2 linked regions of the Caenorhabditis elegans genome follow. The protein of the gene in region 1 interacts with the protein of each later gene in a pairwise test. Each region holds a gene or a part of one and is shown on either strand. Other genes may lie near its edges. The genes, in order: prx-12 and emb-30.

What was found.
Region 2: the proteins of prx-12 (region 1) and emb-30 interact in a two-hybrid assay, tested with the Caenorhabditis elegans proteins (one large-scale study listed by BioGRID).

What each region holds. Positions count from the first base shown.
Region 1 is NC_003284.9:11,387,306-11,400,593, reverse strand, and holds prx-12 (Peroxisome assembly protein 12), read right to left. Parts: upstream 7,302-13,288; 5' UTR 7,294-7,301; coding exon 7,153-7,293; intron 7,104-7,152; coding exon 6,995-7,103; intron 6,948-6,994; coding exon 6,754-6,947; intron 6,710-6,753; coding exon 6,495-6,709; intron 6,450-6,494; coding exon 6,132-6,449; intron 6,084-6,131; coding exon 6,026-6,083; 3' UTR 5,975-6,025; downstream 1-5,974. Other genes in the region: slo-2 (RCK N-terminal domain-containing protein), read left to right, coding at 1,052-1,128, 1,186-1,330, 1,716-1,824, 1,874-1,948, 1,999-2,082, 2,130-2,570, 2,616-2,746, 2,793-2,971 and 9 more; prmn-1 (PRoMiNin (5-transmembrane domain glycoprotein) homolog), read right to left, coding at 8,187-8,238, 8,568-8,642, 8,756-8,865, 8,915-9,004, 9,056-9,221, 9,268-9,464, 9,514-9,684, 9,732-9,902 and 10 more. UniProt on the Caenorhabditis elegans protein: Component of a retrotranslocation channel required for peroxisome organization by mediating export of the PEX5/prx-5 receptor from peroxisomes to the cytosol, thereby promoting PEX5/prx-5 recycling.
Region 2 is NC_003281.10:9,429,758-9,447,215, reverse strand, and holds emb-30 (Abnormal embryogenesis protein 30), read left to right. Parts: upstream 1-5,755; 5' UTR 5,756-5,757; coding exon 5,758-5,925; intron 5,926-5,970; coding exon 5,971-6,134; intron 6,135-6,178; coding exon 6,179-6,273; exon of another isoform or gene 6,274-6,318; coding exon of another isoform or gene 6,319-6,540; intron 6,541-6,585; coding exon of another isoform or gene 6,586-7,050; intron 7,051-7,096; coding exon of another isoform or gene 7,097-7,306; exon of another isoform or gene 7,307-7,309; intron 7,310-7,359; coding exon 7,360-7,454; intron 7,455-7,467; exon of another isoform or gene 7,468-7,517; intron 7,518-7,684; coding exon 7,685-8,097; intron 8,098-8,155; coding exon 8,156-8,407; intron 8,408-8,766; coding exon 8,767-9,021; intron 9,022-9,082; coding exon 9,083-9,197; intron 9,198-9,243; coding exon 9,244-9,428; intron 9,429-9,809; coding exon 9,810-10,169; intron 10,170-10,217; coding exon 10,218-10,430; intron 10,431-10,486; coding exon 10,487-10,625; intron 10,626-10,674; coding exon 10,675-10,788; intron 10,789-10,988; coding exon 10,989-11,060; intron 11,061-11,108; coding exon 11,109-11,552; and 2 more. Other genes in the region: F54C8.6 (uncharacterized protein), read left to right, coding at 612-679, 872-1,128, 1,925-2,154, 2,202-2,290, 2,616-2,807; putative tyrosine-protein phosphatase pir-2, read left to right, coding at 3,856-3,887, 4,272-4,407, 4,455-4,579, 4,626-5,124, 5,171-5,458; putative 3-hydroxyacyl-CoA dehydrogenase F54C8.1, read right to left, coding at 6,319-6,540, 6,586-7,050, 7,097-7,306; Histone H3-like centromeric protein cpar-1, read right to left, coding at 12,210-12,434, 12,483-12,803, 12,856-13,003, 13,051-13,142. UniProt on the Caenorhabditis elegans protein: Probable component of the anaphase promoting complex/cyclosome (APC/C), a cell cycle-regulated E3 ubiquitin ligase that controls progression through mitosis and the G1 phase of the cell cycle.

The sequences.
Region 1 (13,288 bases):
AGAATACCAAATAAACATGTGTAAGTTAAAATGAATTAAATAATGATTTCGAAAAAAAACTTACTTTTTTAAAAGTTGAACGAATTTACATACCTGGCAAAAAATAAAGCATTACTTTGTTTTTTCATAGTCAAGGAATTTGCATAAAAATCAAAAAATCACAAAAGTCAAGTCAAATTTTGTTCAGTTTCTGTACACTTTTGTTAATGTAGCAAAAAATATTATTCATTGTTTTAAATAATCACAATGATCGCAAAAAAACCATTTAAAAAACCTAATTTCTCCTAAAATTGAGAACTTCCTGGCACGTGCGTTTTTCGATATGTAAATCAAATATGTCAAAAGAAATAAGTAATTGCGTGTAATTGAATTACCGTTTAATTGTAGATTTCTTTTTCTGAAAAGCAAGTTTTCACGCAACTCATTAACAATAGCCTGACTCCTCCGTCTAAAAATGAATTGAAACCCCCCTATTTCTTTTGAGTACGTTAAAAAAGACATTGAGAGCACGTCTTCCTCCGTTTTGGCCACACATTTCTACTCATTTGCTGTACTCTTTTTTTTTGGCCGGAGTTAAAGCTAGTTGGAAGCATTTGGAGCTTTTCTTGGAATGTTATTCACTTTATTTCCGGACTTTTAGACTAAAATCGAAAATGAGCAGATTTAGAGCGACAGTTAGAAAAACATTGTGAGTTTTCCAGCTTGAATTTTATGCATCGCAATAAAGTCCAAAGAGTATGAATTCTTGAGCATTCCCAAAGTGAACTAAATTTTTTTTTGAAAAAAGCATCCTATAAAAAATTGACGAAGAGCTCCTTCTTTTTGCTCTTCCGTTTTTCGTTACTACATTCGTCTTTTCTGAGCTCTTTTCGCTTCTGAGCACACATGCTCTAGAAAATTGTCTCTGTGAAAAAAGAAAGAAAACACCTTCCAAGGCAAGAAATGGGGTAGGTTTATCAGATTACTACTGGAAGAAAAAATTGGTGCTGTGGTTGTGGTAACACTATTGTTTTTCTCAGTATTTCTGTCTTTTATTCCAATTTATTTTCAGTGCTCGGATGCAGTATGGCGAAAAAAAGAACATCAAGCACAAACTTCAGCAATGGTTCATAGAAAACCCCAGTATCAGTGAGTTTCAATTTTCAAATAAAAATAATAAAATAATAAGGGCAAAATCTTGTTCAGGTGCTCGAATAAGATCCTGCAATGTGTTGATCAAACTATTAACATGTATATTATATTGTATTCGTGTCGTCAATGACGAAAGATCATATCCTGATGACTTTCCATTTTCGGAAGAAGAAGCTGGAAAACAAGATGTCACACTTTAGTGAGTCGATTTTTTTCTGAAATTTTGAAAAGAAAATTTTGAAAATTTTTTAAATTAAATGTTTGAAAAATTACATTCAACATTCGGTGTTAAGGACCCCAATTTTCCACTAATTGAATGATTTAGAAAAGTATCATTCCAAGTTTAGAAAAAAAGTAATTATAGTTTTCAAACATTTCAATATAGATTCTTCTTCACACATGTACGTTTATGATACCTTTTTTTTAAACTGAATTTATTCAGCATACCTGTATATCAAAAAAGTTAAATTTCAGTTTATGCAGTTATTACAAAATAATTAAAATGAATACTAATTAGTAGAAAATTGAGAATAACTTTGTTCAGAATTTATATCTCGCCAGAAAATTGAAAACAACATTTTCAGTAAATACTTACTATGGGTAGACTTCGATTTCAAAATTTGGTTTCTACAAACAATGTTTGCTTGCATTAGTATGGTTTACACTATTTTGGTGTTTTATCTCAGTTATTCGGTAAGTCGTTTCAAAACACTACTTTACAAAAAGCACATTTTAATTTCAGGGAAGTGTAGTTAGACTGCTCATCAATATTCATTTCTTACTGGAACTCATCACAAGTTTCCCATTCATAATATCGGTTTGTTATTTTATTTTATCAACGAACAATTAATCATTAATTTTTTTCTGATTTTTATTCCCAGCTTAACCTACTTATACGTTCCGGTGTTTCTCAACTGCTGGCTTGCCAAAGGTGCTCTTCAAGCTATGATGGTGAGGCATTGCCTACTGGGAAGTGTCAAAGTTCATTATTTTTTCAGAACGATCTCAATAGAAAATCTTTTATAAGCTCCTCTGCTCTATTTCGTCAACTTTTACTCTTGTTCTCAGTTCTGGCTTGCCTCATTTTTACCGGAATGTGTAGCATTGAACATTTGCAACGTGCTCGTGGAAAAAGAATTGATCTCTTCACATCTTTCTACTTTGTAATGGTCACATTCTCTACAGTTGGCTATGGTGACTGGTATCCAGACTATTGGGCTTCACAATTATGCGTTGTCATTTTGATTTGCGTTGCATTGGGATTGATTCCAAAACAACTAGACGAACTGGGACAAACATGGTCTGAACGTCAGAAATCTGGAACTGACTTTAGTAGTTGGAATGGAGTGGAATCTCATGTTGTTGTGACAATCACTACTTTGGAAGTTGAATTCATTCGTGATTTCTTGGAAGAATTCTACGCCCACCCCGAAAACCAGGTATTTCAGTAACACACCAGTTCTAAAATAATTTTTGTTCTTCAGAGAATTCAAATTGTTTTGTTGTCGCCAGCTGAATTAGACAACCAGACACGAATGCTTTTGAAAATTCCTCTTTGGAATAACCGGGTTCATTACGTTCGTGGAAGCTCTTTAAGAGATGAAGACTTGGAGAGGTTTCAATTTTTGTTTTCGTTCTTCCGTCGGTAATTGAATTTTCAGAGCCAACGTAGCAACATCAAAAGCTTGCTTCATTTTGTCTGCAAGACATGTCAACAGAAAAGTGGCCACAGATGAACACACAATTCTTCGGTCATGGGCTATTAAAGATTTTGCTCCAAATGTCAAGCAATACGTGCAAATATTCAGAGCAGAAACCAAGATGCATATTGAGCACGCAGGTATGACTCCACGAAGAAAACTTATTCAAAATAGAGAAAAATAGGTTCAAAATTAGCAGTATTTCTTTAAACTTTAAACGATTCTTACTACTTTCTCGATGATTACATACATTCTTTCAGAAGTCTTAATTTGTGAGGATGAATTTAAATACGCTCTACTTGCAAACAATTGCATCTGCCCGGGAATTTCTACTTTCATCACACTTTTAATGCACACCTCTCGTGGAGAGTACGTTTATTTAATTTCGTATAAAATCTTTAATGATGTCATCATTCTAGGGAAGGCCAGAAATCTACCGAACCGTGGCACAAAGTCTATGGATTTCATTCTGGAAACGAAATGTACCAGATTAAAGTTCAAGACAGCAAATTTTTCTGTGAGTATGTCGGAAAGTCATTTAGCAGCACAAGTTTCCACGCGCATAAAGAGTTAGTTGATCACTTATTTGCAACTTCAGCATTTTCTTTTTCAGATACGGAATCGGTTTGATTGCCGTTTCTCCGGATGGGGACACTTCACGTATGAAGTTAAACCCAGGATCTTCTCACATCATTCAGCCAACTGATACAGTTTATTATATGGGATTGACCAATGAAGAGTCACTGACAGACTTTAGAAAAGGCATCCGAAGCCAGCAAAAACGTGCAAATGTTGCATCAACTATTGCAAATATTGGAACGGTAGCTGTAGATGTACCAAGATCTGACAAAACCGAGTTAGTTGGCAGAAAAAAGAAGAAGAGGAAGGAAAAGGCTGCAGATGAGATCCACTTAATTGAAGTTGGAGAACATGTTCAATCTAGTCGTCGCCCGTCAATTGCAATGGTTACTGAGGGGAAAATTGACAGCTCGTCCGATTCTGATCAAGAAGAGATTTGCGACAAATGCCGTGGACCTTGCATACAACATAAACTTCAGCGTACTTACCCACAAGTGAGAACATACATTGGAACATCTAATACTGTGTGCCACATGATGAAAGAGCGTCGGTCGCTTTGCTGTCTAAAGCTTGATGAAAAATGTGCTCATAAATCTGCTACTTCTGCGCATGAGTACCAATGGAGAAATCGGCCAATTATTCTTGCGGCGGATAGAACCAGCAGTGGCATGTACAATTTAGTTATTCCTCTTCGAGCATACTACAGACCAGTGCATGATTTACATCCGATCATCATTCTTTTGGAGTTGGAAGAGCAAGATTCGTTGAATGATGCATTTTTGGATGCAATCTCATATTTCCCAGATGTTTATTGGATGAAGGGAAAAGTTGGAAAGTAAGTGAATGTTTTTATAAATTTAATTCAACAATACATGAAATAAATTATCTATTATTGTTGGGTATCAACGTGTATTGACCCACGACGTGGCTAAGAAGATCGTACAACGTGAACTCTGTGAACTAACTTATTTATTCCTTAGTTTAATGTAATAATAAACTACTCGTCTTTGAATTTCGGATGTCTGGCGGGAGTTGCAGTGATGACCAATTATCATGTTCATTAATATGTTCGTCAATAAGTATACATCATCTTACAGTTTGGATTGCCTTCTCCGAGCTGGTGTAAGCAGTGCGGAGCATGTGGTTGTTGTCAAGGAGACAGCTGTAATGGCAGAGGAGCATACTGCAGATTGTAACACAATTATCACAGTTCAAAAGATTCATCGAATGTTCCCAAGACTTCGAATGATCACTGAATTGACGCATGCGACAAACATGCGATTCGTGCAGTTCAATCCACATAATGCTTATTCATTGGCTCAATCCAGATTTGAAAAAAAGGAACGAAAACGTGGCTCTCATATGCCGTTCATGTTCCGACTACCATTTGCACAAGGAGGTGTTTTTAGTGCTAACATGCTGGATAGATTACTTTATCAGGTTAATTTTTTAATTTCCGCATATTCAAACGTAATATATTCAGGCTATTATCAAACCGTTTGTGGTTGATCTAGTCAGACTTCTTCTTGGAATTGATCAACATAGTGATGGCGGATATTTAACTTCGGTACAATCAAACTAATTGCAGTGAACCTTCATGTGATAAATATTTCAGTTTGTTATCACATCGGATGACTTATGGATTCGGAATTATGGACGATTGTATCAAAAACTATGCTCCTCTGTGGCTGATATTCCTATCGGTATTTTCAGAACCAAAAAGATGGACACTAAGACGGTAAACACAAATCTGCTCAGTATCGACTAATTGTTTTTTTTTTTAATATTTTCAGGTATCCCTTGATCTTCAAGAACAATGCAAAGATTTTGAAAACACTGAAATGGGAAGAAACAAAGATATGTATGATCATGTGAAAAATCGAATGAGACTTCTTAATATAAAAGACACTCATACTTGTAAGTTTTATTCGGAATTAGTTTTCTATTTTTAAACCCTTTCTAGTCAATTGGAAATATGCTAGCCGGTGCAGATCAACAGGTATAAGCCGAAGAGTGGTGTGAACCAGCAGACAAAATAAAATTAGAAAACTTACTTTAATACTTACTATTTACTTTTATTTCATTTCATAATAAGGTTGAAGATTCTTTAAGTTTAATTCTAATTGCTTCAGTGTGATCATTTTTCTTGGTGCGGTTAGACGTGGTGAACTGTATTTTAAATTTCAGTGCTCGAAGGAAGCGATGAAAAGTCGCAAATCTCATATGTCATCATCAATCCTGCTCAAGATTTGGAACTAGAGTCCGGAGATATTGTGTACGATTTTAAATTCTATTTCAGATGAATTTTTGATCAAGAACTCATAAATGAACTTTCAGCTACGTAATCAGAAGTCCAATCCGGAAAGATGCAACCAACGCAAGAATTAACCCAAGAAGGGGTCTAAGACGCAGTAAAAATGTTAGTGAAACCATCGATTCAACAAATCAAGTCCCAACAATTGTCATTGATGAGAATAATTTGTAAACTTGCGTTTTTTGTACAATGCCCAACACAACGAAAAGTTGAATTTGCTGGAATATTTGCTCGTGTTTTAAAAATGAATATTTTTGTAATTTTATTTGTCGTAACATGATTCAAAATTAAATTTGTAGCGCTATACAAACAAACGGATTAAATGCTGAACGTTTGCCGGGCATCCTGTCACTGGACATCTGAAATTTTTCTCAAATAATTGATAGTTTAAAATAAAGAAAACTCACTTGTTATAAGTGTTTACGTATTGGTTGATACATGTGTAGCAGAATACATATCCAGATACAAAAAGCGCAGTATCATTAACTCTTTTCTTCAAACAAATTGGGCATTTATTGGTGTCCAAACTCAAAATTTCCGATTCAGATATGATCATTTTGTGTGGAGGTGAAGGAATAGCTCCGTCAAGGCCAGTCTTTGTAAGTTTTGCCAAATCTGTGTTGTACATATAATCCAAAAACTGTACAAAGAAGAGCCCATAAGCAAAGAGCCTTGAAACGATTCCAGGTAGTCCCAAAATAAATCTCCAGATGCGATTGAAGAATCTTAAATGAATATGTTCGTTTAATGTTCCTCTAGAAATTTGATACCCAGTTTGGAGATGAAGAGGAACAGCATTGAAAGCTTCCAAGTCTTCTGGCGTAAGATGTTTCAGAATCACGCCTGAGAAGTAAAGCCATGGCGAGTGAATGGAGCTGCGGTTCAAAATGTATGCAAGTTGTAGAGCACTTTTCACTGCCTTAAGAGCTGTCTTGATGTATGGCCAAATGATCACAAACATTTTTTGACACTTTGCTTTCATGCCCTGGAATTATAAACGATATTTCAAATTTATTTGTCTATACATACATTAATTGATGACCAGCTTCTGCATTCGTAAACTTCCTTGAGCCTGTCATAAAGCTGATTCAATTTATTCTCTACATAAGGCCATCCGACTAATGTAATAAGCGACATTATTCTTTCCCTACCATCGTTCGGTGGATTTCCTGTGCCTGATGCTATTCGCTTCATAGAATAAAAGTTTTCCGTGAACGACGCTCCTGAAACACATTATCTTTAGGTGAAAAATTGGAATTAAAAAACGTACCATAGTTTCTCAAATAGTGGTTTTGCAAAATGAGATCGAATATGATGTAGTATTCATCAAAGTTTCGGTGAACCGAAAGAAATGTTTTTGGCTTGAAGAATGCTAGATACTGAAATGTTCAATTTCAAATATTCGTTTCACTTTTATTCTTAACATACTTTTACAAGATGCTGTAAAGCCGGTCTGATTGATGTTGCAAGATTTTCTTGAGCGATTATATCAAAAACCGATGGCTGCTTTTCTTCAGTTTTTGGAGAAATTGACGAAGCCAGCTGCGAGGCACGAATAGTCGTACTCATTATTTCCTAAATTTTTCAGTTAAAAATAAGAGGAAATTGTTGAGATTATACTCATTAAAATTTACAAATAAAACCAAAAAAAAGGAGAGATATGAAAATGATTGAACACGACCATCGATTGCCGGAGGAGCGAGGACACTGTCCGTATCATACTACGACGTAGTGTGTCCTTGTCTTATCACGATTAGATAGTAATTGAAATGTGGAGGGTTAGAATTGCAACAATGTAACCTTTGCTTTTCTTAACTGTAGATCTATTGATGCAAAATACAATGAAAATAACGACTCTTTAATAAATGCATGAATAATAAATAAATGGGATTTTCAATTATTTGTAGTGAGTTTTACGGTGCGTGCTAGTTCTTTATGATTTTTTTAAAGAGACACCAAAACGTGGACAACTATATACATTATTTTAAATATAAAAACAATAAATCACGAATTGTTTGCACGCAACATTTGTTCTTATCTTAACTCTTATCAACTTCAATCCGCTTTTGGAAGAACTGAACCAACGTGGAGGGTGGTTTAATGTTTTTATTCAAATACGAACCGCAATTGGGGAATCATCACATAAATGATAATTCTATCAGTAAAAGTTACGGAAACTGAAAAAAAGTCAAACAACTGAAGATCGAATTTGAGGAAAAAACGGAAATGCAAAAATGGCACTGAATAGAAAAACTGTGTGCGTAGAATTGAGCGGTTCACTTGAGTAGATTTTAAGAAAAAGAACATGGGACTGGGAGAAATGAATAATGGGAAAATGATACTCGTAGATTCTAGGTGCGATCAAATGAAATGAAAGAAAATTTCAACTGAATTGTCGACATAAATACATGCATTTTTTAATTAAGTAGGCGCAATTGTGATAATACATTTTCTGAGGCTCTTCATCGATAATTACGTTGATAATCATCTGTGTAGGTGTAGTTTGCGTATCCACTGAAAAAAATAGTTTTTTGAAACATTTGAATTTATATTTAGAACATTTTTCATATCCAGATTTCAATAGCAGGGCTGTTACTTTTTCATTATTTAATATTTTTTGGGTTCTGGCAAACATTAAACATTTTTGTCGCATTTGTAATAATGCAAAATTTTTCTAAAACAGTATTTGTTGGTAATTTGCTACATCAACTTTTTGATCTTTATTGTTGGTTTTTGTGTTTCAAACTGAACTCGTTTTATTTCTGATACCGAGTATTTGAAAGATCATTTCAAAATGTGTAGTTTCAAAAAATATTCCAATTGATATTAATATGCTAACTTACGGCTTAGGCCTAGTGTCATATGTATCGGTAATGAACGATGACATGTGATGTGTTTCAGATGGTGGTTCCACAATGCTGAAATATATAAAATTATATTCAAAATTGCAAAGTTAAGGGTTATTTTTCGAAAAAATGGCTAAGCTAAAGTTATTGTGACACTTTTCTTTAAATAAAATTGTGAAACTTACTATTTTGGGAACGCGTGCATCTTAGAGTATAAACCTATTAATGAGTTTGAAATTATCACAATTGGTATCAACAGAACTAGGCAGATCAGCATACACATCCATGTCCCGTTCTGAAATTATAAATTGAAAACAGTTCCCCAATTTTTGTGTCATTTTTACATATGGATCAATTGTGTAAGCACAAACAGCAGCAGTTGTTTGCCGGGCAATTTGTGTCAACGGTTGACATGACGTGACCTCGCTCTCCATCTGAAAAGTCAAGCAATTATAGAATTTTTTGAAACACTTTTGCGTTATTACCTGGCTTTTGACATGAACTATGTACTGGTCGATGTTGTTAACCATTTGTTGGAATTCTTCTTTAGCTGCACGACCGAAATGCTCTCTCATGTTTTCAGCCAGTAAAGCCTGAGCATGCTGAAGCTTTACAAGAAGAGAAGAAACAGGAACTTGAAGCTGAGAAAGTCTGGAATAAGTATTTTATAGGAATTCAACATTTAAAGAATTTTCACTTTTCATCGAGTGAAGTAATGTTAGAGTACAATGCCTCTAATCTGCTCCTTAATGGTTTCGCAAATTGAATCTCTAACTCTCTGATTTGTTCAAGAACAAGAGTCACTGCCTTAGGACGACCCGAATTTGCGTCTAGAGATTCCTCGAATTCCCGCGTTTTGGATGCTAAGTCGAGTTCATCCATTGCATGCTTTATCTGAAACTCAAAGTTAAAAATTGCTCAATTATGTTTCCAATCTACAAACCGCATTCAGGCCTTGTTGGCTAACTTTTGAAACATTCACTGAGGCGAGTTTCTCCAAATCTCGAAGTTCGCTTCTTGAAATGAATGCATCAAGCGGACGAATTTCCGGCATATTTTCCATAGTTGTTCGCAAGGAAATTTGCAGTTGGTTGTATGCATCTTTTTCAAAATCCTGCAAAATTTATATTTAACATATCTATGTATAAGTTTTGTTAGTACCTGTAGTTTGTTCAAATGATACTTTTTGTCAAATCCATAAAAGTTGTACAGCGTCTCGTTTCTTGAACACGCTCTAATAATTTCTGCCGGCGATTTCGACTGAAGAGTAACCTCGATATCATTTTCAGGTGTGTGATTTGCTTTCCAAAGATTGATATATCTATCAGCAAGCTGCAAAAATCTTTATACTTGGGAGAACAAAGATGAACCAACCGATAACGATTCCGGATGGCTCAAGGGATTTCTCATGGGCTGGCACACCAAGTTTGAGAAGTTTCCAACAGCAAACATCAATGCAGAAGTTCCCACTGCCAGGAAGACAAAGATAAGAAGAAAAGCCCCAATTCCACTGAAATTTAAACCTATGATTAATTTAATTGTAATATAAAACTTACAAAGAATAAAACTTTCCGCCAGTGCTTCTTACACAACAATCATCGTTGTAATAAGTTGGACGTCGACCACATATTCCATAAAGAACTCCAAATAGGAAAATGAGAGCCAGGAGAATAAACAAACTTGTGATAACAAGAGACGCATACCAGCTGTAAATTTGGCAATATTATTCTAATAATACCAAATAATTGGTTTCACAAAAACAAAACAAAAAAGGAAGTTTTCAAACTGAGATCATAAATATCAAATTTGTAGACCTTTCTGATAAGACCTACCTGTATTGCATGTATTTGAGAGTTGGTGTTTTTTTAGGGTCCGATACATAAGAAACAGTGCTATACAAAGCTTCAAATGTTACTTTGCGCAATTGAGTCGAAATTGTTTCAGCTACCAGAAACAGATCATCTCCGATTTGTTTCAACATATTTTGAGCGGCTTAAAAATATATATGAATGTATAACATTTCTAGTGTTATTGTCTTACAATATGTTTCTTTGTCAATTTCGTGTTGTATTCTGCTCTCTAATTGCTCAAATTGATTGTTGGATGCAGCGAGTACTTGAGTAATATTCGCATTGACAATTTCGGAAAGCCCGGTCTCAGTTGCATCGGGCAGGAATTTCTGAAAATAAGTGTTGTTTTTTTTAATTATAGAAAACGCCCCGTCTTTAGTACAACTCACTTGGTCAATTTTGAATTGAGTGACAGCGAGACTCTCAAGGAGTCGTTCTGCTTTTGCACACATGCTTCTAACCGGCTCGAGCTCATTTTCAAGACACTTGACTAGCTCTTCATTAGCCGTATTTCGTAATCGTGAGAACTCAGCCTAAAAATATTACAATTAAACTGAGAATAAGAGTTTTAATAAGTACTTCAAACCGTGAACCTTCTTCGTTTAGAAATCTGACCTTTCCATGAACTGACTCCAACCCATCGTGCATTTCTTGCGCCACTAAAAAATACCGATGTGTTTTTTTTTACATTTCGTAATTATAAATATGACCTTACCTTTGCTAATGTTCATGAAAACGTCAATGACATGTGCGCCAGTCAGTTTTTTGACGCGGTCCACTACATTATATCCGGCAGTGGATAGTTGTTTGGTAATGGTTGAATTGAGGACCTGGTAATCATCGATGAGCAACTTTCGTATTCTCTGTAATTATAAAATTCAAGTAACCATTTAAAAACAACAAAAATTACCATATCACTGTCTCTTTTGTATGACTGCAAATCGTCGACACATTGATTCATCCGATTTGGAAGCTTATCCAAACCAATTTGAGCATATTGGCTTGTCATTAACAGGGTAAAAGCAACAAACCTAGAAAGTAATCAAAATTAATACATACGCGTCAAAGAAATAGTGTTTAACTTTTCTTATGCTCTTCAAAATTAATAAAAATGGTTAGAAACTTACGCATTCGCACTGACCAGTACAAATAACAACAGATTGCACATGCTTCGTTTGCATCCGTCATATCTTGCATCAGTATTCTGTTTTTTAGAGGATCGAGAGCAAATACACACGCAGCACCTAGAATTGAAAAAAAATATTGATTTTCTTGTAAAAGTTCACTAGTTGTTTCTTACTTGTAGAAGAAATAAAAAACCACAAAGAGCACACTTATCGCAACAAGTCCGACGCTCAGTACAATCCATCCTTTTTGAAATTCGATCCACTGAAAAAAATAAACTGGTTTAATCTCCGCATTGAAGTATTTTCATTTTTATTTTATCTTTTTTGAAGATTCCACTTTTGGACTGTTGAAAAAGTGCTCTTAGGTAGTCAACAATATAGTTTCTTTGCTTTTCGCTTTTTCGTGCTCGCCGGCTACCCTAAACCTAAATCAATTCACCCGAAGATCGCACATTGTGTAAAATGCAAACATTTTTCTTTTCCGATTTCTTTACCCATTTTGGTCTTTGATTGTAAAAATTAATGCTATTGCTCTTGATAGAAATTTTCAAAATAGCTGTTTGAAAAACAGAGAACCAAGAAAATTAAAGAGAAGGAGAAAAAGAGCTATCATCTTTTCAAACTGTTCTCTCTCGTTTTTTTCTTAATTGTTCATAAATTAGGAAACAGATGTAAGATTGGGAGATTGTGGAAAAAGATAAAAATGTCATGTTATGTCATGCGCAACTACCAGTTTTGATAGAAAGTTCAAATGGCCATATTCAAAGAATTCATTCAAAATTGTTAGAATCGATTTGCACAGAGAAATATATATATACTCGTTTAATGTCCCTTGTATTCACTTTAGCCAAGCCTGAAAACCTTGTCCATTAAAGGATGATATGAAAATTGGCAAACTTGATGAAGCATACGCACCAGCGCGCTATAGTTCCGTACATCAAATTCAAATTTCCTTATTTTTGACTTGTCCCTAATACTTTTCATGGCACTTGAACAACTCAATCATTTCCCTTCTTAGCGCGGCTCTCACGCATGAATCTTAGGTTTTGCGAAACATGCGTAATCTGATACTTTGTCGCCGATTGAATGGATGAAAGAAAAGAGCTATACACGCGCACTGCAATCGCTGACCACAACTACCAACACCACGCATTCCAGTTCCGAGTCGCTTAACATCGTCATTATTTGCACTTGCGACACTAGCCACAGTCCACTTGTTTTTATAAAGTTTCTGTTTCCTTATATCTTTCACATGGAAAGAGCCGAAAAAAGTTGGCGGAAAGAGGTGATTCATCCGACTGGAAGTGATGAATGAGGAGCCAATGGAATATAATGAATGATTCATTGGTTTAGCGCGCTAGTCTCCGGAATGAAGTCTGGGTTAAATGATCAAATAAACTACATCCTAAAATTGCACAAAATAAAGCTAATAATGTATTTTGAACAATCGGAATGTGTGACAAATAATAAAACAGTTCAAAATAATCTTTTGCCATTTTCATATCTAAAATACATTTTAATGTGAACGTTCAATATTAAATTTTAAAATTTTAAAACAAATTCATTGTGTTAATCTTCAGGGAACATGCATTCAGTTTGTATTAATTTTTGTTTTTTTTTTCAAAAATCTTGGATGTGGCATTATTCCACTTTTGAAAACGTTACAATCTTCCCATAAATATCTATTAGGCCCCATAAAACCAAATTTTCTTTGCGTTTAGCCTGCTTTTCCTAGACCCGA
Region 2 (17,458 bases), on another chromosome or scaffold:
GCCAAATCATTTTCGAGTCACGATAATTGGTAATTTTGGATTAATAATGTATTTAGACAACTTTCTTACTGCCGCCACTCCATCTTAAAATACAAAGTTTATACGAAAACTGCATGTTTCAAAACTGATTGGAATCTTTTTGAAATCTGTGCATAAAAGTCAGTACAAAACCAATCAAAAGTAGAAGATATTTCAAAGCTCATCCATCAGAAGAGCTCATCCAGAAGACGTTTCTCTTTTCCTATCTACGTCATCATCTAACACGTTCTCAACATCTTTACGCTCTCCTTGTCTCGTATACTCTATAGGTTTTCATGGCTTATTCTGGCATGGTGCCAATTTTTCTGTGCTCTTCGGGTTCACTGCTCCCGTTGCTTCTCCCTCCAACAGAACTCATCTTTGTGTTGTTACTTTCTTTGTACTTCTGAGATAGTTTTTTGGAAAGTTTTATGAAAAGGAGAGAATTGAGAAAAGGCAGCAGCAGCAACCTGAGAAATACTGTGCGTATGTTTTGTTTGACAATTTCCTACTCTTCTTATGCGGTGTGTCTCAATTGTAAATAGAGCGAAAAAGAGCAGGAGAACAACTCAAACTCATGTGAGATGTTTCAGTTTCGACGAGCAGCGAAGAGCAACCTACTACTCCCGCCATGGTTCTCGTTCCAACTGTAACTATTCAAGTATGTCAAAACTATATTTTTCAAGTAAAAAAATATAGCAACGAATTTTTTGTAACTTTGTTTATTAATTCAACTCTCAAATTAATAAAGCTCAAATTTTTTGAATTAAATATAAATTAAAATATATTTCGTTGTTATAAATACAATATTCCTAAACTGTATTCATCTTCCTAACTAATTTATGTATTACAGGAAGCACCAAAAGTGGTCGAAATCCCAACAAATGGGCTCCCAGAGCCTACACCCTCTAGCTCAGTTGTGCAAGAAATTGAAATTCTGGCTCCAAATGAGGACGAAGTGAAGGAGGAAAAACCATCGGATTGTACTACTTGCAAGAAAATTGAGAACTTTGTGATGCCTTATTACGAGAGTTTGAAAGCAAAGTATCAACAATTTGTCGTTCGTATTTCGGATCCAGCACTTCATGCAACTATACGCTCCGAGTTTGCGTAAGTTTTTTGGATACATTTTCTGGAATGTAAAATTTTCTTACAATTCTAAACAATAATACCAGAAATTAGTCAAAAAATTTGGAACGCTTCACGAATTTGCGTGTCATCCTTGCGCAGGGGCCATGCTAATCTTCTCTGTATTGTTCCAATTTTAGTATATGTTCTCGGAAGAACAATTTGTATGAAATATTATGGAAATACATAGGCACACCTTACAAAGTGACTGACAGTGTAGAGGTTTCGCCTATTACCAGAAATAGTGTAGAGGTAGTTTATTGACTTGCTATTATTGATTGGGTATAACATTGGAAACACTATGTGTTGGGAGCTCTTAAAATGCTGTCATTAACAATTTGACTCAAAACAGTCCAAAATATCTAAAATATCATGATTTTGAAACCTCGAATATTGTTCAAAATTTTGTTAATGCTTCCAGTCACATTTTTGGTAATTTGCCAAATTATAAAAACATTTGGGTTCCCTTCTGATATGGGTGCTCTCTAGAAAAAATAGTCATTAATATGCAGAACGGTGTTAAGTACACATGACCAAATCCCATAATAAAAAGCTCAACATTTTTGTCAGATATTTTTTTAAACATATTCAGTTAACGTATTCGTAATTTGCTAAAATTTTTGGAAGATTTCGCCTTTTGGAAATTGTTTGGGCAAAGTTGCCTATTTGAACCCCCTACACTAATAATAGACAAAATCTATAATAATTAATATACTTTCAAAACATTTGTTCATTCCAAAAAAGTTAAATTCCAATAATTTATTCTAATAATTTTCAGTGAATACTTCCCGAGTGTCCTTCTGGGCTTTGCAATTTTCTTCTTCGGAATCACATTTATTTCCTTTATCAAACTTTTGCGTGGTGTTTCTACACAACCATCATTCTTCTGTAGATACTTCTCCGGACCATTCTCACCATTGTTTGATGCTCTTTGTGAGCCGGATCCATATGTTTTGTCTGAAGAGTTACCAAAAGTTATGAGTGGATTGCTTGATGAAATGTTTATAAGTAAGTTAGATTTTATTTCGTTTACAGTAATCTCATGGCATTTTCAGCAATCTCCGAATTCTTCCAAACAATTTCAAAAGGTTTCACTGTGTTTGGAACTTTGTTCACTGCAATTTGGCATGGATTGTCCGAAAATGTACGTTTCATAAAAAGTAAAGCACACGTCAATAATGCATCGTGAAGTTCCAATTCTAGAAGTTGAGATTTTGCCGCTCCAGTCCTTTCTAGATTAAAAAAGTAATCCTTGAAAATCACATTAATGTGCTCAAATAACCTAATAAAACGTTTAACATTTTGCTGGATTTTTTCTAGTTTTACTAAAGCCCAACATTTCCAACAGTTTGGCAATTTCGCAAAACTTTTATTAAAATACTCAAAACCAACCAAATATGAAACTTTTATTATAATATTCGGACATGTAGACCTATTGTAAGTGTATCTCTCCCAATTTCAAATTTCAGGTCTTCTTTGGATTCCATGAGCTTGGAGAAAACCTCGGAGAAAACATAAACCACCTTCTACATTTTGTTGTTCAATTTTTCCATCAAATTATTCATTTAATTCTCAGTTCAATTGCAACTATTGCAGGGGCCATTGCCGGAGTTTTCACTTCTGTACATGATTATTTAGAGCCTCCACAAAATGTGTGGTAAGATCCTATTTGGAAATAACGATCACATTTTTTTCACAAAGTTCTAAAAAAAGTTCATAATGGAATAAAGTGTTGTGAAAAAAATGAAATAGTTTTTCCCAATAGTATCCATATTAGTTAAATATTTGTTAATTCCAGATTAGCCATCATATTATCCCTTGTCACATTTAGTCTTGCACCTCAAGATTCCAATTTTTCAGTTTGTATCACGATTTGTTTAATTTTAAACTGGAAAATAAGAGATAAACAATGCCCGAGATTTAAAAAAATTGAGTAATTATTGAGGTGCAAGAAACTAGAGATAATATTTAATAACCTCACTAGTGTGACAATTTGAAATTCTGTAGTCTTTTTTCCTGATAATCTTTTAAATTGCCTGAAGAAAGCCATCCCGCATGAATCCCTTGCATTTACTAACCTGTGTATTCTCCCCCATTCATCTTTCAGTTTTTCACTTCTTCAGGAATCATTTATTACAACAATTCTGATTCTCATCTGATTACAGACCGAACTCCTTCTAATTTGTACATATTTCTTATTTTCTTATGCATAAATTACTACTTGATCCAAATAAAATGTTCTTATAATTTTAATTTTTGTTCTTTGTCAATACTCAACGTAACGAATTGTATTTTAGATTTAACAGACTAGAACTATGCTTGTCGCAAACAACTTAAGTTCAAACTCCCGCTCGTTTTTCTTTAAAGGCGCACTGCATTCCTATTGTGCGATATCTCACCACGACAGCTGGCAGCCAAGTTTCGCGCCGTCTCGCACTCTCTCACGCGCAATCGATTGGCAAGCGGCTGCTGTCTCTGCCGCAATTCGTAATTCGCACTCTTTCTGTGACACAAAATTTATCGATTTGTGGTCGCTTCGAAAGTAAGCCGAGTTCGACATCATCTGAAGTCACTGCCCGACGTCTTCTTTCTCCGAAAATTCAAGTCCCGGACGGCAATATTTGGCAATTTCTACTCGACTATTCAGCACGCGTATCAAACCCAATCCATACTTTTCCGTTTGTTTTCGTCTTGCCCTTTTGAGTAAAAATGGTGCGCGTGTGCCGAGTAGTCCCTAAAGAGTGAGCATTTCATTATTTTTGTTTATTATTGGTCTTGTTTGAAGCTTTTCTTGGAGACTGCCAGATCAGAAGGCCAGATAAACTCCATGAAACGCTGTTTGGATTTGGCATTGATATATTTTTTATATTTTCGATAACATTTGTGGTCATTGCATTGATTCTCCGTTTCACTACCGCCTATATTCCTTCGTCTCGTTTTAAATATAAAGAAATTAGGAACATGCGTGTATGTTGGCGGTTGAGAGAGCAGTTGAAATGATTTGAATGAGAAAATTTCAAAAACCACTGCAGTCGCTGCCCTACACGATTTCAGTTAGGTGTGAGCGATTAAAACTTGTTATTGCTTTACATGTTTTAACCTCAAGTTTCATGTTTTATTTTCAGCTGGTCTAAATTTCAACCGGTTGGCAATGTCATTCCACGAACCCGATTCATTGTTTTCAAGACACCAATCAACAGTCAGTTATCCACGAAAATTCATAAAGAGCAGAGATTCACAACAAATGATTTATTTCGACAGGTAAACTGGACACATTGTTTTCCCTACATAACAATATTTTGTTTCAGTTATCGGAACGTGGTCAGTACCTTGGATTAGTGGTCGACTTATCAGACACGGACAGATACTATGATAAAAAGGATATTACTGGCATGTGTGTACAATATGAGAAAGTCAACTGTCCTGGGAGAGGGTAAATCACCAGATACCGTATTGAAACTAATAAAATTAACTTCCAGGTTTATCGAAAGAGATGATTGCGTTGAGTCCTTCCATCAAGTAATTCAAGATTATACTGACAAATGCGACGATCCAGATGCTTTGATTGGAGTACACTGCACTAATGGTATTAATCGATGTGGCTATCTGATCTGCCGTTTTTTGATTGACCGGCTTGGATGGAGTTCACATGAAGCAATTGACGCATTCGAACAAGCCAGAGGATATTCGATTGAAAAGGGAGCATATGTGATGGCTTTGCACAAGGCTGCTAAAGACAAGCGAGATAAACAAGTGGATTCGGATTCCGACTCGTCTGAGCGCCAAAGAAAGAAGAAGAATAAGAGAAAACACCGTGAAATTGTGGAACATGAAAATATTGTGCTCATTAATACAATTATTGGCGAGTTGGGAAGTCAAGCTGCCAGCGTATCTGGAACCGACTATCAAAATTCACCAAACGGAGTATCCGTGGACCCAGGACAACCACAACCGCACCACTGGGGATTCGCTATCAAGGTAATAGAGTATCACATCTTTATATTCACCAAGTAATTTTTTGCAGAGATCGAAATACGCTCAACTCAATCAACCTGTTGCAAACGGAGCCAATACACCACCTGAGCCGTCAGAAGGAACACCACAAGAAGAAGAAGAGTTCGAGGAAGACTTTGAAGAGATTGAAGAAGAGACGGAAACAGAACCAGGAAAAGGGCAATCAGTATCATCTAAAAGACGTGCACGAAGGAATAGAATGCAAAAGTACATGCAGGTTATGCAACGCGGAAGATTCCATGAAATTCAAGCTATTCGAGAAGAGGTCGCATTAAGTCACGGCAGTGCCAGAGATTAGGAGGCAGTGCTTCGTTCTTCTATTAAATTTTTTAGACTTTGTGAATCATTTTGCTCAATCATTTTCGTCTCCACAATGTTCTCCCTGTTCAACTTTTGATCTTTTATCGTTCCACTCTTGTACCTGACTTTAAACGTGCACTACGCACATTATTCATATTGTTATAATTAATCAATTTTTATGAACTTTGTGATAATTCCATTTTGTGTGTTGTGTTCTTTCAAATTTCTAGGACTTGAATATTGAATACCTGTTCGAGCTACGGACCAGGCACCCCTACTATCGATTCTTCATTTCAGATGGACTTTTCAATAGTCAAAACTCAAATTCTCAATAATAGGCGGACATTCCGCACACCATTCAAAGTGTCGAGTATGTGTTTCAGTTCGCAAAATGATCTCATCGCTCTTGGATCGAAAACTGGCGAAATATTGTTGAAAAGAACATCATGGAAAATGATTTGGAAGGTAACAGGAAGATTTCAAAAATATTATCAAATCAGGATATTTCAGACCAATATCAATATGATTCAAGCTGTCGGAACCGAATGTAAATTGGACAGCTCTGTTTCTGCATTGCACTTTTCACCGGATGGACGCTTTCTCGCAGCAGCTACAAGTAAAGGCATAATACATTTGTTAGATGTGGAAACGGGAAAAGTTCGATTTTCAGTCAAGTAAGAGATCTATATAATAGTTCGAAATATCTATTGAAATTCAGAGCTGCATCCGAAAAAATCGCCAAACTCCACTGGAATTGTGTTCGTGAGAAGCCATTTATAAGCAATCTTGGAGAATTCACTACAAGAATCAAAAGTAAGAATGTTTTATTCTATCAAAAAACAGAAGTAATCTTTCCTATTATTTCTTGTACGAGTAGAATCCGTCACCAGTTTTTCTTCCAAGTTTTCCCTCGGCAACCAGCTTATCTACCAATGGACTTGCTTCGAATAGTTGTACTTCTGGATACTTTGCTGCCCATCCATCCATGACGAATTTGACCGTGTCGAGACCAATGTAGTCGGCCAGCTCGAATGGTCCCATTGGATGTCCTGCTCCCAACTTCATGGCTTCATCGATGTCCTGAAACGATATTTGGAGTTTTTAGAAAGCTGAAAATCAACATACGGTCATTGATGCATCTCCTCGTTCATACATTCTCGCTGCTTCGAAAAAGTATGGAATAAGCAGACGATTGACAATGAATCCAGGACTATCCTTACAAGCGACTGTTGTTTTTCCAACAGCTGTTCCAAACTTGATCAGCGTTGCATATGTTTCATCCGAAGTGTCATCAGATCGAATTACCTCGAGAAGCTTCATAACTGGCACCGGATTGAAGAAGTGGAGTCCTCCGAAGCGAGTTTTATCTTGCAATCCTTTGGCGACATCCTCAAGAAGGAACGATGAAGTGTTCGTGGTCAAAATCGAATCCTTCTTGCAAGACTGCTCGATTTGGGCAAAGATTCCCCGCTTCAAATCGATGTTCTCAATGGCGGCTTCGATGATCAGATCGGCATCAGCAACGGCGGTTGACACATTGTTACACGTTTTGATACGTGACATTGTGAGAGTCACGAAATCCGACTTTTCCTGGAAAAAACAAGAATGAGAATCTTCAAACAATTACGATATATACCTTATCAGTTCCTTTTTGCTTTTTTGAAAGATGCGTCACACTTTGACTAATTGCCTTCATCGCTCTATCAAGTGCTTTTTTATTAACATCGGCCAGCATCACATTGAATCCACTACTCGCCGTAACTTGAGCTATTCCCGATCCCATCTGCCCTGATCCAACGATCGCCACGTTTCTGATGTTTTGCATGGCACACTTTGCTGTGAACATCATCTGAAATTAATTCTAATTAGAGACTCCTTAATCAATATCGAAAATTTCAGATGTTGAAGCCATCGAAGGAGCTATCGAATTGGCAGAAACGACACCGAACATCAGTCAAGAGGAAATCGCATTCGTATACCAGAGGCTTGATGAGGTAAGAAACTAACCTTGATGATATGATCGACGTGTTTTGCAACAAACAATTGAGAGAAATAATTGATTTTTCAATCAAATTCGACCATATCAGATCTACTGACGTGGTATTTTCCGTGGAATTGTTTAATTAATTTCACATGAACTATTCGAAATTAAAATTTGAAAAAATCGACAGAATCTGACTTTTTTCAATGAAAAAAAAACTGTTCCTCAATAATTTTGTTTCAGGATGGTTCATCTTTCAAACACGAAGATGCACATAAAGAAAGTCTCGAGCGAACTCTGATTTCAACTGAAACATTCCGTGAATCTCTTCAAAATACGATCCTTCTAGCAACTGATGACATGGATTCGAAGATTATTGTACTTGTTGCTGGTGTGTTCCCATATATGGAAATTGATATCAGTGACACACTTCTACAATACAATCAAAGCCTTCTCATGCTCTACGATATGCACTACAGTTCAGCGTTTGGTGGCGTATCATTTCTCGCCACTACATATGGGCCATTTCTGGACTGCAAACAAAATGAGTTGAAGCCTCCTGGAGCTGAACCAAAAAAAGATGGCCAAGGATGTCATACGCTGCTTTTCAATGTTAAATTGAATATTAATTCGTCGCTTTGGGATACTGCGCTGAGGTAAGCTTTTGAATTTCTGCGATAAGCTCGAACAATTTACTTTTAAAAATAAATTTAGATACATTCGCCTTCTATTTGGCTTCAACTTGTACAGCATTTCTCTGGAAACTACAAAACGAAATTGGGAAGAGCAAATAGACAATCTTCACTCATTATTCGATACAAAAACGAAAGCTGTAAAAATTGGAAATGTGCTTCTCGAAATGCTGCTCTCCGGGTCGACAGATGCGGCTGGCGAGGCATTTCTTGAACGAGGTCTCGGAACTGATGGATTGGATAAAATTGAGCTTTTTGCAACGAAGCACATGCCGTATGTAATATTACCTGAAATGTTGCGATTTTTGGGTGAAGGTCTCGACACGACAATTTTTGTTAAATGCAAAGAGATGAGCGCCTTTAAAGAACACAGCGGAATTTTAATTGATTTTTTAAAAAGTTTTTCCTTAAGAAATTTTTTAATTAAAACAAAAAAATTTAAACAAATCATGAAAAAAACTTGAGCAAACCCGATATGTAAGTGTGATTACAGTACTCTTTAAAGGTACACACCATTTTCGCATTTAACAAAAACTCGTCGTTTCGAGACCCGTTACGGTAGTTTTGTCGTAAAAAGCGCAACATTTCGCAACTGGAATATATTATTTGTTACTAATTTTAATCGGTTTTCAGGGAAGTTTGTCGTATTGCTCGGGGACAACTCTCAACGTCAGCCCGAAATTTGTGCTTCCAGCGATGTGAATTCTCGACATCATTATCTCGTTATGCAAAGTTTATTCAATTGAAAGATGACGACAGTTTTCTTTATGATGAGGATCCGCCAGCATACCTGTCAGAATCGAATATTTGGCTGAACACTTTGGAAGAGAAAATCAATATTCTTGATATGAAAACTCGTCATCTTGGAATTCAATGCTTGACTATGATGTAAGAAATCTGACGATCTAGATGTAGACAATAATGATAATTTAAAAAAACCAAATTTCAGGCAAGAACTTGGACATCTCGTCAAATGGATATCCATGACAAAACCATTTGCAAAAACGATGAAAGTTAATGCTTTGATGAAAATAAAAAGAATGAACATTGCAAAAATTCTGCTTGTAAGCCATTTATATCCTTTACTTTTATACAGTACACTTTTTTCAGTACATTGTGAGAAATTTCATTCCGGATCCAGAAGCAGTGAAAGATATCGAAAACAGACTTTTCAACCTCAAGGAGTTGGTTTCGAAGCAAAAGAAAAAAGATTTGGAAGACAAGTTTGATGAGGTTGAATATCTCTATAGACTTGAGAGAATTGCCGAAGTTGAAAGGAAGAAATTAATCGAAACGTATGTTTTGTAACATGACTTCTAAATTTTTGAAGTATTCTGAAACTCAGAATTTTTTTGCGGAAAATTATTGAGATATTTGGAATCAGGATGCCAAAAACCCCTATAATCCCCAGATTTGTTGGAAACACCCGAGGCATCGTGTTTGCTACTGGATCATAAGATTCCCGAAAAAACCTCAAAAATCAAGAACTTTAAGAATTTTGGTGTAAAATTTAAAAAAAAATCTCTGAAGCTCTTACAGCAGTTTTCAATTTTTTATATTCACCAAGATAATAGATTTATTGACACCCTGATATCAAATACCACAATAATTTTCTACCAAAAATTATTATTTTTCAAATATATTCCAATTTCAATTTGTAATTTATATATTTTCAGATTCCACGAAAAGTTCCGATTTGCCGATCTAGATGATGACGACTTGACTCCATTGCTTTTTCAAGAATTGGATCATCCTATTGACATTTTTACTGATAGTATGATGGAACAAAATGATTCTTCCCCGTTTCTTGAAGAAGACGAAGGAGAGCCAGAGCAAGAAGAGCAAAAACCGGATGAGGAGCCTGAACCAGAAGGAGAACCACAACCTGCATGTGATTTGGATAGAGTTGGCTCATTTTTCGAGAAAGAGTTGTCACAAAAAGCGCTAGAAGTTCTTCCAAAATGCGATGAAACATTCGATTGTGTTCTGAATGAAAGAGGAAGTCGTATGAATTCAATAGAGATTCAGAAAATGGGGTGAGAAATTGGAAGTTGACTAGTATAATTTTATATTCAATTTTTTAGAATTCTACGGGTCCTTGAAGATTTGGCTGCCACACTATCTTCTCCTCAGAAAATTCATTGTGATAAAGCTGGAAATCAGAAAAAGTTGGAAGTTTCATTCATTTATGAAATTACTTCAACACCTACCCATCAAGGATATCAAGACGCAAAGATCAGCAGTGTCACTCCATCATATTACAAAAGACATCCATTTAATCAATTATCTGGAATGGGGTAATCTTTTCATTAAAAGCCAAATATTTTTGACTATTGCTTATTTCTAATTTCAGACGATCAATTCAAGTGTCTGTGCTTCAAAAGAATGAATTCAGCTCAATCGTCATTGTACCAACGAGTGATGTATTGCCTGAAGATGAAAATGAAGTGAACGATCATGTTGAGAAGCTGAAGAGATGCTATGAGTTTGAGGTATTTTATATATAAAAGTTTTCACATTTAAATAAGCTTTTTTTTTTAGAAAATTGATGTCACAGTTGATAAATCGAGCGCCGAGAATAGACCACCAGGGGAAACTGATGCAATGGAAGTGGATAGTAACGAGCTGAGAATTGATGTGGATCTTGGACCAGTGGTTTGTTTGCGGATAATTTTAATTATGAAAAACACGAAAAACATCACAAAAATGCTTTAAAAAATTTTAATTTTCGGTTTTCCCGTCAATACCTAACGAGACCCAATCATTGGGGGCGGAGCGTTCTCATTTTTTTTTGAAAGTGGAGCACTGTTGCGCCTCGATTTAAAAAACAAAATTTTTAAACGTATTTTTTTCAGGTACCTGAGTACGATACTCTCATCGAATTGAGTCAAGTTCACCCCCTTCATCATGGAGAACTTGTTTTATTGGTATTTTGATTAGTAATTACTATGATTCCACAAAATCACATTTTTCAGGGAAAATTCACATCCGCACAGGAAGGAACTGGCGTGATGTCACAAATGATGCGATCAATATCTTCATATCCTCATGAAATCCCAGAAGATAAAGATGTATTTGCAAAGAATAGCTCTGAAGATGGAAGTTCAGAAATTCCAATCGAAACCTTAATAATTCATCCAACAATTCAACTGGCTGCCTATCTTCACGATGACGGAAGTAAAATCACGATTGGAGACATGAAACCAGAGGTTCCACCGATCGCTGACTATGAGGAGAAGACTGTTCGAAAAACTTTCCGCGACTATCAGAGACGTCGAGAACGATATCGGGAAGATATGGGAGTAATGAACATGAATGATGTTCAGTATGATGTTCTTGTTCAAGAAGCTATGGATAGTGGACGTGACTTGACGGATAATGGAGAATCAGATGAGGATGAAGAAGATGATGACATTTAGTTTCCAATCGATGGATAAATTATTGCATTTCTATGTTTATATTTCGTATTACTTTGAAATTATTTCTCCTTTCCAATCTATTGCATTTCTTTTCTTGGCTTTCCCTCTTACAATCTCATTTTGCTTTTTGCGGGCACCTATAAACGTGTTTTTAGTCAAAACTCGTTTCTTCTAGTTTTAGTTTGATGCAAATGTAAGGCTTGAGTTTCAAAGTTTTCAAGTTTTCAATAATTCATCTTTATTTTTTATAATCAGGAAGCTGATATCTTACGAGGGCGTAGAAAAAAACGTCGCTTGAAAACAAGGTGCAAGTAATAATTTAAATTTTAAAAAAATCTGAAAAGTCCTACATTCAAATTGATTGCAAAACTACAACTTTCCAAAAAAATTAAGAATTTTCGCCTAAGATTTACTCATTTTCTAGAACTAAATTCCTTTTTAACAAGAGGTTTCAATTTCAGGGCAATTTATCACTGGGCCAAACAGATTCTGTCAGACATTGTGCAAAGATGCTGCGAAGGAGTCTATCATAAGCTTCGAGCTATTCATACTCGAACAAGTGATTAAATACAATAAATTCATTTTCATGCAATAAATTTTTACAATATAAATAAATAAACAATTTACAGTTAGTGATTAGTATTGCAAATTTTTTAATCAGAGATTTGGAAGGCAAAGACGGCGGTAAAGCTGCACGTCTGTAGTCGTCAGTGTGGCACGTTTGGAATGGGCGGAAATGAGTGATGAACCATCGAACATTTGGACCAACAGTGCTTCCGATGCTTCCTGAAGAGCATTGATGGCGTCAGAACGAATGCGAAGGTCTGAGGAAAATGGAGTGGAAGTCTGCATAATTTCGCGGACGAGGCGTGCGAACGGAGCCTGAAATTTGGAATTGTTTAAATGTGGAATGTAGTAAAAAATATATACCTTTGGAATCAGAAGGTCTTCAGATTCTTGGTATTTGCGAATCTCTTCCAATGCCTTCTGGCCCGGTCTATAACGTCTCGTTTTCGAGATTCTGTTCCTTCCGGCTATCATCCGCACGCGATCGGAGCTCGATGAACCAGCTCTACTTCCATTTCTGCCATTTGTACCATCCGTGTCATTACGATTCCCCACATTTATTGGTGACTGATGGTGACTGTTGGCTGCCGTGATTTCTTCATCGGAGCTATCGTGTCGACGGTGTGAGGGCATATCATGACGGCCGTGGGAGTAATCGACAAGATTAGTTGAATTACTGCCGACCTGAAACAAATATTATGTTGTTTGAAATTTCTCACACAAATTTGAAACTAACCGTAATATCCACAGAAGGAGCTCTTCTTCGAGCTTGCTCTAAGTCGTTGAATCCAACAGCCTCAAGGTCGTTCTTATACTGATCCAGAAGAGCGATAAGGTCAGCGTATCCTGTGGCGCTTGTGTTGAAGCCCGGCACTGAAGTGACTCTGAAACACCATACATTAATTTGTAGCACGAAAACAAAAATAATTACCTTTGTGTGTCATGTTGGAGACGTTGCATGATCCTTGCCACCCTCCCATTCTTCTCGGCAATTTCCTCAATAATTGGTCCGTCATCGGCCATTGTTCGAAGATTATCCTGTTAAAATATAAAATTTAAAAAACTGAAGCTAAATTAAGACAATTTGTTTGAAGGTTAAAAGGAATTAAAGAAGCAATAAAAACGAACGCAGTTTAAATAAGGAACGATTGGCGGCAGGAGAACCATTGAAATACGAAAATGGCAAAACATATTTCCGGTGAAAATAATCTGAGAGTCACAAAATCAGCAAAAATTAGAAAATTCTGGAAGAAAAATCAAATTTTCGCACTTTGAAAAGAAAATGCGCAAGTAACACGAGAGATGCGCCAGCCATTTCCGCTTGCGCGGAAGACGATTATCAAAGTAGGTCTAGAAATAATACTTTTAGCTAAACAGGGAACAGGGCTGTTGCAAAAAATAATTTCCGCCCAAAAAACAAAAAACAAAAAAGCGAATTTTTCAAAAAAACCAAAAAGAAATCAAATTTTGATTTCAAACGGAACAAAACGGAAATTTTTCTTGAAATATTCTGTTGATCTTTCATAAAATAATAAAAATTGAATGAACGGAAGGTTTTTTGTTCTTCTTTGTTTATTTGTTGAATCAGTGTTGTAATTTATTTTTTGGTCTTTTTGGTTCCAGAAAACCGGGGAACATTTTAAAGAGACGAACTGTTGAAACTCACGAGTCGATATATATATATATATAAGTACTTCGGTGAGAGAAAATAATTTTTGTATTTAGACCTCAAACGATATATGAAAATTCAGTTCAATTAGGTTACAAAGACACTTTTGAATTCGAAATTCTATTAATTTAAAGGTTGAAGTTGAGTGTTAAAATGAATGTAGGAGCCCAAGCTGAGTTTGGCATTTTCGCTTTATCAAAAATATAAGAAAAAGGATCATAGTAATTTACCGTATTTCCTATATCAGTCTTGCATGCAAGATTTTATTCATACTGCCCTGTTTTGGTAAATTACCAAAAAGTGCGTGGTACATTCGTTTAACACTTCACTTCAACGTTTAAATGAATAGAATTTCAAAGTCAAAAGTCTCTTGGTAACCTAGTTGAAATAAAATTTCATATTCCTAGGGTTTGGACACATTTTTAATTTTACTTACTATTGAGAAAAGATAGGAGTTTCACTTTGAAAAAAAATCACCAAATTTAGAGCCACCTCTTGTTAAAAAGTAATTTAGTTCTAGGAAATGAGTAAATCTTAGTAAATTAGTAAATGAGCCGTTCGATAGTAAACGAGCGGAAGTGAAAACATTAGTAAATGAGCGTCAAAGTAAATGAGCCACCGTTAGTAAATGAGGATTTGGCTTCTCAAATCTCTTTACCTGTATTAACCGAAAAAAGTAAGTTCATGTTCTGAATAAATTTGTCGCTTGAACAATCTTCTTTTTGACCTCGACAGACTGGAATTCTGGAAACCTGAATTATTACTAAAATTTTACGTTCCTAACCGTGTAGCTTGAAGGCTTATTAGTTCCTCCAACCAATGCTAAAAAGTCAGAAGCCGTATTGTATTCATTGCTGATTCATTTAATTTTCTATTATTAAATGACATTTTGAGTCTTCTCAATCTCCCCTGAAAAGCCAATAATAACACATTTCAAGCGTATTCTTTATTAATTGAAAACTAGATGACCATCGAACAGGTAATGTACGTGCGAAGCTAATCTTGTGGTAGATACTAAATATGATTATGGATAAACCGTTTTTAAACTATACATTTAGATTTAGCAAAAATTTGTTCAAGAAGAAGCACCTCATAGACATTTCCTAATTTGTATATTTACTATGATGCTCATTATGAGATCACTTTTTTTGGAGATTTTTTGCTTTGAGATTGCTTTGACGGAAGTTTGAACGTAGGCGTACTCTGCGTGTCTGCAGAAGATCTGAATTTCCGCTTCGATTCGCCATTTGATGGATCGTATACGGAAAATGTAATCCAAATAGGGTAATAAGACGCTAACTTGCTTTGTAATTATGTCTGGAAAAAATAACTTTGACGAAAAATAATACAACAGTCTGAAATTAAGTTTACATAGCCGCCCGGAATAGTCCTGTTAGATTAAAACATTTTGTGTTAAATTTAGTTACAGTAACCATTGTTTTTGGTTTCTATCAGTGTTTTTTTCGAATTATAATTATAATTTTCTCACCACTTTTCTAATAAGTCACTGTTCATTTCGTTTCTTACTAATCATTAATATTTGAAAAAAGTTCACTTGATCATACTTTTTCTGATACATGGAAAAATTGAAATATCAGAAATATCAGTAAATTGTTGCCAAAATACAAGGTTGTGAAAAGTGTAAAACCCGATATTTAGGGAGATCACTGAACTCAAAAACTAAGATTCAGTTTCGAATTGGTTAAAGCCAAATGAAATAAAAAATGGGCTTCTGAAAAATTTAAATTCTAAATGATCAAAATAGTATTCGATAGAGAATTTTTTTTAATATTACGGGTACATTTTTGGACCTAGAATTTAAATTTTAGCCGCGCTCGCTAGAGGCGTTTTTTGTGTTCAATTTATTTTTGACAGGCATATGACTGCTCGAAATTATAAAAAAAAGTTGTGTTATTTTGGCAGAATCGAACTCCTATGCCTTATCAACATTTTGGAAAAAAATGTAGCTGAAAGCTTTTAGGTTCAAAGTTCGGACCAGTTTTCAAAATTTTTAAGCACCATATAAATTTTGAGATTTATCAACCTCAGAAACGGTTCATTTCAAATTTTTTTTCAGTTTAGATACAATATAGGCTAAGCTTACAATGAATTTTTTCTGATGGTTTTTTTTTCGTCAGCTTGACTGATACATCGTCTTAAAAACAACGATCAAACATTTGAAGTATGCAATCAGAAAGAAGGTGGTAATTTGCGAATTATCGAAGTACGCAAGTTTTTTGATGATTGCTGTAATCCAATTCCGAATTGTGTGTTTTTTATTCATTCAGCACAATTCTGTTTTGTGATATCATTTAATTAAAAAAAAAATTATAAAAACATTTGCTAAAAGTGTACTGTTCAAAAAACAGGTCTGAACAGAACAAGTTCCTGCCTGCCTACCTTCAAAGAGCCGCAAACGCCTGCGGACAATCAAAGTACTTTCACAGTTTATGCGTGAATTGGGGGGATCATGTTTCTAAAAAGCCCAGAATCTGATGTTCAGGAACATCACAAAATAAAAAAAGATGTTGGTTGGTTCGAAAGTGGGGAGTTTTTTTTGGTTTTTTTGTGTTGTTTCCCAATTTCACACAATTTTGGGAATTATAAATCAAGCGCCCAAAACGACTCTACACCACCTTTAGCTGGAATTGCTGATAATCATCTTGAAGTGTTAACAGTGTTAAGAGTGTTAACTTTTTCATTCTGAATGTTTTATCAATTCCTCTGCTGTGTAGAGTTTAATCAAGGTCAAAGTCTATCCAATATATATTAATATACTCATTAACTAAAAACTCTAAAAACGATACAAAGGGTAAAAACTTCAGGAAATAATTATTGCAAAATAATTTTAAAGGTCGCTTGCAACTTTTCCACTCAAATATTTCATAATTACTCTAAATGCTAGGATGTCTAGTATATAAACTTTTGATAAACATTTAAGAGTTTATAATGATCTTTGAAACAACATCTCTATCGTTCAGAAATTCCAGTGAGATTTTCAAATTAACATAATATTTTCACAAGAAAAATACTTGTTCATTGTTCTCAAGGATGTGTCACCTCGAAGATGTGTTTTTTTTTTCAAAATTAGTATCTGTTCCAAAGTTCCAAAGAAAATTTAATCAAGTTTTCCCTGCCACCAGAAAAATTTTCACAGACAACCTAATGATTCGTAATATCTCTAAGTTAATATATCTAAGTTAATAATATATATAATAATACAAACACTATGGGAAAACCAGAGATCCAGTGGGATCTCAAGATGGGATAAAGTTATTTTCAATATTCAGTAAATCAGGAAATTCGAACTAATGGCTCGTAGAAGTGTCAGACGTGCAAATTCATAGGTTAAAATTAAAACTAATGCCAGTTAGAAGACTTAACCATGTTACTAAATCAAAAAATCCACGCAATTTTCCAAAATTTAACCAAATTTTAATGTTGTTAAATCTGATTGTAAGATAGTAGTGTTTCCTTCCAGCAAAAACTTCCACAAAAAATTTCAGATCAAAAAGTATGTTCCCATCTGAGCAAATTTGCCAGGTGAAAATAGTTATTTAGTTGAACTTATTTACATTTATCAGGAACATAAGAAGCACTAACTGACAGAGTTTAAGTATTGTACTAGACGGAACCAAATCTTGGTTAGTGACAAAAAGCGTGGTTAAAA